2 linked regions of the Arabidopsis thaliana genome follow. The protein of the gene in region 2 purifies or fractionates together with the protein of the main gene of each other region. This does not show direct contact. Each region holds a gene or a part of one and is shown on either strand. Other genes may lie near its edges.

Region 1 (3,590 bases), on a different chromosome or scaffold from region 2:
GCGTCTCGTTACGTAAGAGAGCTTGTATACGAAGCCCGTGACTTGATCCATTACTGAGTCTCAGCTTCGGGAATTGCGTTTTGGGTAGCGAATTACAAAACCAACACGAAGACTGGGAAGAAGTGGGCAGCGGAGATTTGAGGAGAGGCTTAGTCTGTAAATTGGGTGTGTGTGTTGAAGTGAAGAGAGCTTCCATGGTGGATGAGAATAAGATTTTGGTTGAAGAGTCTTCTGATCTTTCACTATAGGCAGATGCTTCAGGCGTCTTTGTTGAAAGTAGCTTTAGGAATTAGGACTTTTCCAGAGTAGGGTTTGTATAACACACACATACATATAAGGGTTTTTCTTTTTCTTTTGGCTTTTTTTTTATAGTTGGATTACGATTACTTTTGTCCTTAGGAATTACTTTTGATGTATTTTCTATTCTCTTTTGTTTTGTTTTGATGTTGATAATAACGAATTTTCCTTGAAATAAGAAAATCAGTTTCTTTTCAATTTACAATTTTTATTGATAATAACATAATATTCTAAGAAATTATCTTTGTTTAAAAAAATTGGGAAAGAAAAGATTTCAATTTCATCTCAAAAGAACCTGATAATGACTATTGGATTACCATTATTCCGTTTCTAAAATCTTCTTACTGTTGATTAAAAAAATTAAATCTCCTCTAAAGAAATATCTATCATCTCAATTGGTTCAGACCATTTTTAGTTTACGTTGAAAAGAAAGATCAAACAGATCAATGACACAAACTATAATTAAGGCACTAAACACTAAATGTCCTAATTTGCATAATGCGGGACCCATGTCAATAATATTTCTCAAACGTTGTCGTTTTCAGCCCATCCTTCCTCCGAATCCACGCGCCACCGTCTAAGCTGCTGCGTCATTGCACGCGCCAATTTGCTTTCAACCGCTCGAATCATCCCAGCTGAAACTCCAGTCACATCTTCTACTTTCTTTAAATTCTGCCACGTCGTCGTGTTCTTAACGCCGAACCAAAACGCCGCCGCTAAGAACACTCTCTTCGTCGCTCTTGGCCTCGTCTCCACAGCCAAAGCCAAAGACGCATATGAAACGACAGCGTTTGTTAAATCCCTGTTTAGTCCTAACTTACCACACCAATTTACAAAAATGCCATCCGCCACCGTAACCGCAACGGCCTTGGCATTCACTCTGTTTTCCCTCCCTCGCGCTCTGTTTACGTCACGCGTCGTTGACGATAGCTCGGAGCTTGAGACACAGTCAAGAGACGAGCAGCAAGAAGAAGACGACGATTCTGAACAACATGTTGTTCGTGGAGGCCAAGGAAGAAGAGGACCAGAAACGAAATTTTGAGTAAGAGATTTGCAATTTGGGCAGATGACACGCCGGAAATGACGAGCGAAGAGAAAATTTGAGGCATGGAACTTAGCGTCACAAGAACGGCAGAGGAAGGCAGAGTCCGCGGCACAATGGAGATCAGCTTCGGCACCACAAAGCTCGCAAAAGCTCACCATTGAGTCGATCTCTCTGATCACCAGAAAGAAGTGAGAGAGAATTGGTTTGGAATGATGATGGTGGGAAGAGAGATTTAAGGAAGAGATGTAAATGATTGAGGGAGAGAAAGAGCGGTGGAGTTTTTATGGTTCATGGTTGATGAGAGTAGTCTCTTCCACAGTTCACACATCAAAGAAACTTACATGAGCCATAATTTTTTAGGGAAATGAAATGAATGGTGTTTGTAGAATTGGAGAGAATGACGTGTCGTGAGGTTTTGAGGCTGGTGAGATTATGTGGTCATTTTTAAAACTATTACACTAGCCGCCAAGTCATTCGTCTTCCTTTTGGTGTGACGTGGAGATTTAGTCAACACTAATGTCTTTTCAGAGACTTGGTCTCATTGCAAATTGCTTCTTCTTCTTTTCTTGGTTGCTTCCATTACATTTCTTCTGCATTGTTGCAGTCTTTTATATAAACTTTTATACATTGATCTTTTGTCGAATACAAAACAGAAGATAATACTCTTAATTTATAATCTAAGGAGTAAGGATACAAAACACAAGGTGTAAACTGTGGTGAACCTGTTTGGGTTCTGATCCCAACTAGTACAACAATAGTCTATATCTTGAAATCTTTCCAAAAATGGTTTCTTAAATAAAAGGGTCTTTGAATAGCCAAGCTAAATCCAATTGCTCTGTTAAGATATATCCATAGAGCCCCTCCTACGAATCACACTGTGACCTCTCCAGGGAGTTTTACTTCTTTGTTATCCGACCATAATGCCTCTGGCGTATTCTAAATGCCGGTTTTCGTAGCAGTACTTTGTTGGATTGTTTGAGATTTACCTGATCGTTTCGAGACTTAATCTTAAGTGGATGAGCTTCGGTGTTGAATACCCACTCGTCTAAAGGAATGACTGTTGTCGGCGAGAAGAGTAGATAGAGATACTTGAGTGTCTCTGCAAGGAAGAAACTTTGCATCTTGTTGTCCTTAACGCCTGTATTAACCTGGAAATGATTGAAAGAAATAAGAATCTACCATCAGTTACACTCAATTACTAATATAGATGGTGGAATGATATAATTCAATTCACCAAGGTTTTAACAATGCAGGATCTAATTAAGCGCCTACGGAAAACTTACATCCTTCAAACCAACATATCCAGACTCTATGCGCGAGTTCTTCTCAAATGCTTCAAATATATTCCATCCCCACTCTTGATATGTCTTGTTTCCAGTTAACCGCCAGAGGTAAAACAGTGATTCGACAGTTTCTGGTCTCAAGATGTTCCACGACGTTCCAACACTCATGTCCTGAATCATCATGTATACTAAACAATAAATAACGCATAAAATAAACAATGTGTTTGAAAAAGACAGGCAAATGACATACACTCCCAGAGTTGAAGAAATAATTCTCCCCAGCCAGTTTTGTTGGAGTTGATTGGTAAAAGTTATAACATGTCCACGCAAGCTGCAAAATATGTGGAAAATAGCAATAAAGGCTATATCTCAGCAGCCTAAATCAGAAAAGCAGAGAGCGAAAAATTCGAAAGATCTGAAGCACTTACGACGCTATGATCAAAGATCATTCAAGTCATAAGTTTACCTCTTCAGCGAGTGTGAGAAACTTCTTTCCTTCAGCAGGATCACTATACCCAGATGCTCCTAAAGCCAACATTCCAGGAGCAAAGCATGCCAATTCATCCATCTTAATATATATGAGAAATAATGAGATTGGAAATGCCAGGCGATGAAGAATTTTCACGTAATACAATGGAAACAATGAACAGATGGGTTTACCTTATCGATCAAAGAATTTCCACTCTTCTCACAGATATATGTAAACGACAAAGGTGTTGATTTCTTAACCAAGCTTAGCAGACCATTCATTGACTTCTCCCACATATCTCTGATGCCAAGATGTCAAGTAATAACAGTACAAATTATTATTGTTCGGCTAAAGATGTTGAAACTAAAAGACCAGAAAAGAAAAGAAGAACATAGATATCAAGCAGAAAGATAAATGTGATGGCAGCTGGTTGAACTTAGCGGACTTGAATCAATCAGACATATATACACTCAGTAGACTAGAGTTAAACTTACCT
Region 2 (4,177 bases):
AAGCAAATGGTTGATATTTTGAAATCAAAAATAGGCCTCAATTAGTTGGGCCTGCTAAACACAACGAAAGATATATAAATATAACCCAAAAAAAAAAAAAAAGATATATAAATATAACTCTTATTTTCTTACTTGTTTTTGTACCATTTTAGTTTGGTAACTTTAACAAGTAAACGACTAGTCGGTACTTTAATTAATTTAAATATGTTTTGCCTGCCATGATGAGGTGTCCATACTCCTTAGTCATCAGAGATCTATGCAGGCATATTCAATCAGAAAACAAAAAATATGCCGATGGGCGATGGTGATGGGCACGTTATTGTGAATTTGTCTCCATTATATGCTCTTTTTCTTATCGTTTATTTCCTAAGATATATTATTTATATACAAACCAAATCCAAGAACAATCCTTTCCCCATATGGGCTATGGGGACTGAAGAGGCAGAAGATGAAAAAGAAAAGACTGTCCTCATATACTAAAATATACGCACCACTAGATTTCATTCATCGAATTTGTAACTTTACTTTAAAGTTTGACTTTCTTTTCCTTGAGAAAACAAAAATAATGTAGATGATAATTGAAAATAAACTAATTTTTCTCTGAAATCTTGTTTCCACGACAAAAAGAAAGTTTACAAATTAAACAACGAGTCATAGGATTTTGTACATGAAACATGTGCATTAATGGAAAGAGATTATATGATTATTACAAAGATTAAAACAGCAAAACCGCAATCACACTCAAATTTACAAAATGACAGAACACAAAAAAAGAGAGAGCCTAATTCTATTGAGATCAAAGTTGGGAGAAATGAAGGAGAAACAAACAAACAAAAAAAAAACTCCCCCATTTAGGGAGATAGTAAAATTACCAGAAAGATCTAAACTTTTTATTAGAAGAAAGAGGAGGAGGAGTGATCTGTGGGACAGTGAAGCCACCATCATCATACCATCTCTTGTTGTTCTGTCCTTGTTGTTTCATGTTTTGTATTGGAGCAAAAGACACTACTTCTGGTGATGTTTCTTTGTTGTACATCCCAAACTGTATGTTGTTGTCTTGAGAAAAGTATTGATTTGGGTATGAAGAAGGAAGAGTTTGTGGAATCTGAGGGACCCAAATCCCTAAATTCTTAGATGGAAGTGACACTGTATTGTTGTTGTTGTTGTTGTTGTTGTTGTTGTTTCTCTTAGTGTTGTTGTCATCTTCTGGTTCCATATATGGTAACACTCCATCATCATCACCACTCTGCAATCACACAAAAGATAACCAACAACTCTTTTTCAGAAATTTTACACAAATACCCAATATAGTAAAAAGATCTATCCACATCTATAAAGTTTGTTACCTTTATAATACATTAATACCTCATTAGATCTAAAATGATATGATATTACGTAAACAGAGGAAAAAAAAATTCAATCTACTAAGGGTCATTGTCAAATCTTGAAATCAACTAAACTTGGATCTTTCTTGATTAAAGAGATAAGAACAAACCTTAGAGAAACCATAAGTAGGAAGAGAGGAATCGAGGAAATCCTCAACGTGCCAACCAGGTAACGTATCCATCAAATACTCAGAAATCGTGCTTGTGGATCCCCACTGATTCACCGACGCATCACCGCCGTTGATCTTCGAAAAGGGTTGGATCTTGTTGCTCTGAGGAGGAGCTGAGAGAGGTTTCTTGAGAGGAGGAGGATTAGAGATTGATGATCCAGGGACAGAGAAATCTTGGTTGCTTGAAGAAGAAGAAGAAGATTTCGAAGTAGGTTTGTAAACAGACGATGTTGCAGAGAGCTTAACCCCTGTAAGAAGAAACCTATCGTGTTTCTTTGTGTGTTCGTTCGCAGCGTGGATCGATGAATCGCAATCTTTGCATAAAATAGCTCTATCTTGTTGACAGAACAACAGAGCTTTTTTATCCTAGAGTTCAATAAAAAGAAAAAGTTTCAGATTCTTGATCGGCAAAAACGATTGAATTAAGACAACAAAACTCATGTCCGAAGTTAGAAAGAGACCTGACAGATGTCGCAGAGAGGAGAGGAGGTGTTGGAAGAAGAAGGATAAAGGAGAGAGAAACGGAGATGTTTAGAGGCGAGTTTGTTAGCGTGGTGGACTTGGTGGTCGCAGCCGCCGCAGAGAGATGCTTCGTCGGCCGTGCAAAACACCGACGCTTCTTCTTTATCGCAGACGTCGCACCTGATCTTCATCGATCGATTAAGAGAGAGATAGAGATGGTGGTAGTTGAAAATGATAGGAGAGAAGATGTGAGATCTTCTTATGGAGTAGTAATGTAAGAGGGTACTTATGTAATATCAGCTCCTCTTTTTTCCTTCTTTCTTGTTTCTCAAATCATATCTTTTTTTTTTTGTTTAATTATATCTCTCTTTTTCTTTTCTTTTTTATTCCTAGAAAATTATTTCTTGTTTTATATGAGATGTCCATGAAGTAAAAAAAATAATTAATTATTACTTTGTTGGATTAATAAAACACAGCGATATAATGAGAGCTTGACTGATGAGAAGTAATTATGCCCATGATAGTTCGGTAGTTCCTCAATGTAAACTAATTATATTTTCCAGCAAAAAAAAATAAGAATGATATATTCAAATAAATTTATTGGCATTCCATTCGATTGTTTGATAGCATTCAAAAAAACAAAATAAATAGAACTTAAATAGTAGCAATGAAAAATTTTCTGTTTAATTCTCCTAACTTGGAAACAAAAAATTGAAGTAGACAATGTTTTCATAATGAAACTAAAAATGATGGAAAACTCACTTATATACCATCGAATGTAAACAACATTAACTCTTTAAAACTTCACTTTTCGATTGACTAATTTAACTTAAGAAATGTGAACAATCAGACAGGTTTAAACTTGTATTTTTACTAGTATCATACCTATACGTACGCTTATGTCAAAACATTTACATCAGAATTAAGATGATCGATATAACACAACCTTGCTTTTAGCCGATTGATCTCATGTTTATTCAAATTTCCATCTATATTATACTTCATGGCATGCAGTCACGCACGCCAACTCCAAAATAGAGGATCGGATAAGATTATATTTGAATATATCATCTTGTTATATTTTATTGTGTTATCTTTGTTTAGAAGATTATATAGTGGAAGCCCGAAGAATTTTGCACTGGACGTGGATGGTGTGAAGGCTGAAGCGCGGGTATCGAACCAAGTGGGACTAGTGGGAGTCTTTCCTTCTACATCAATAATTAAACAGATAATGTCTCAGTGGTTTCCTTTTATGACAAATTAGAATTACATTTCTCTAGTCATTTTATTTTTATTTTGCTTTTATTTCTATCTTGAATTCTGAAAGATTGTTCAGTCAAAATAAATAAATAATTAGATGCCCAATAATGCTTATTAATTTCAGTTATAATTTTATCAGTTCAAATATATATAAATGGAATGAAAATCAAATGTCATTTAGTTCGGCTTGATTCTTAATACTTTTTTTTGGTTTTTATACAGATTTGTTAGCTACGTATATTTTCTAGTCTTAAAACAGGGGAAAACCTAGCTAGCAAATGGAGACAAAACTAGATTTTTCTTTTTAGTATGATAAAACCTTACATGGTTTCTTAAAAGTAAAAAGATATTAATTGGTTCGTATAGATATATAAAATATTAAGGAATAAGGATAAGTTTCAAAATCTAGAACCACTATCAAGTAACAACCAAAGATTATAAAGTTTACTTTTTCAGGAGTGAAATCTAGTAGAACTGTATCTTGTAAATTACTACATTATATCCCTGAAAAAGCATTATATATATTAAAGAATAAAAGATTCTCCAATTAACTAAAGGCGTATGCTTAAAGAAACTTTGAACCCATATTGGAATATGATAATGATTTGAAAGTTGTAATTCTCTTTTAAGAATCCATGTATATGCCCCCTAAATATCTATAATAGGAGTCCCCATAGTCCATAGAAATACCCTTTTAGTCGTGGAAGCTCGATCCAATGTTGCATTGTTGCAGTGGTTAATCAAGAATTTATAAATGTTTCTATGGTATGAAAATGATTGAAAATACTCAGATTGAAAATGATCTTTGTAATCATATATCTCCCGCAGTTCTAATGTTACTAAATGTTATATCAGTCAAGTTAATGTAGATTTTTATTTTTCAAAACAATAATAAAGAAA

The links. Proteins that work in one complex are often made in the same cells at the same time.
Region 1: the proteins of BBX21 (region 2) and BBX32 purify together in Arabidopsis thaliana (affinity purification with western blotting, with the first as the bait; one study listed by BioGRID). This does not show direct contact.

Annotation. Positions count from the first base shown.
Region 1 is NC_003074.8:7,411,891-7,415,480, forward strand, and holds BBX32 (B-box 32), read right to left. Parts: upstream 1,838-3,590; 5' UTR 1,501-1,837; coding exon 823-1,500; 3' UTR 555-822; downstream 1-554. Other genes in the region: AT3G21140 (Pyridoxamine 5'-phosphate oxidase family protein), read right to left, coding at 1-196; MNS2 (alpha-mannosidase 2), read right to left, coding at 2,239-2,490, 2,626-2,796, 2,876-2,956, 3,092-3,193, 3,286-3,394, 3,589-3,590.
Region 2 is NC_003070.9:28,364,090-28,368,266, reverse strand, and holds BBX21 (salt tolerance homolog2), read right to left. Parts: upstream 2,444-4,177; 5' UTR 2,209-2,443; coding exon 2,017-2,208; intron 1,922-2,016; coding exon 1,496-1,921; intron 1,247-1,495; coding exon 869-1,246; 3' UTR 529-868; downstream 1-528. UniProt on the Arabidopsis thaliana protein: Transcription activator that acts as a positive regulator of seedling photomorphogenesis. Acts downstream of COP1 and play an important role in early and long-term adjustment of the shade avoidance syndrome (SAS) responses in natural environments.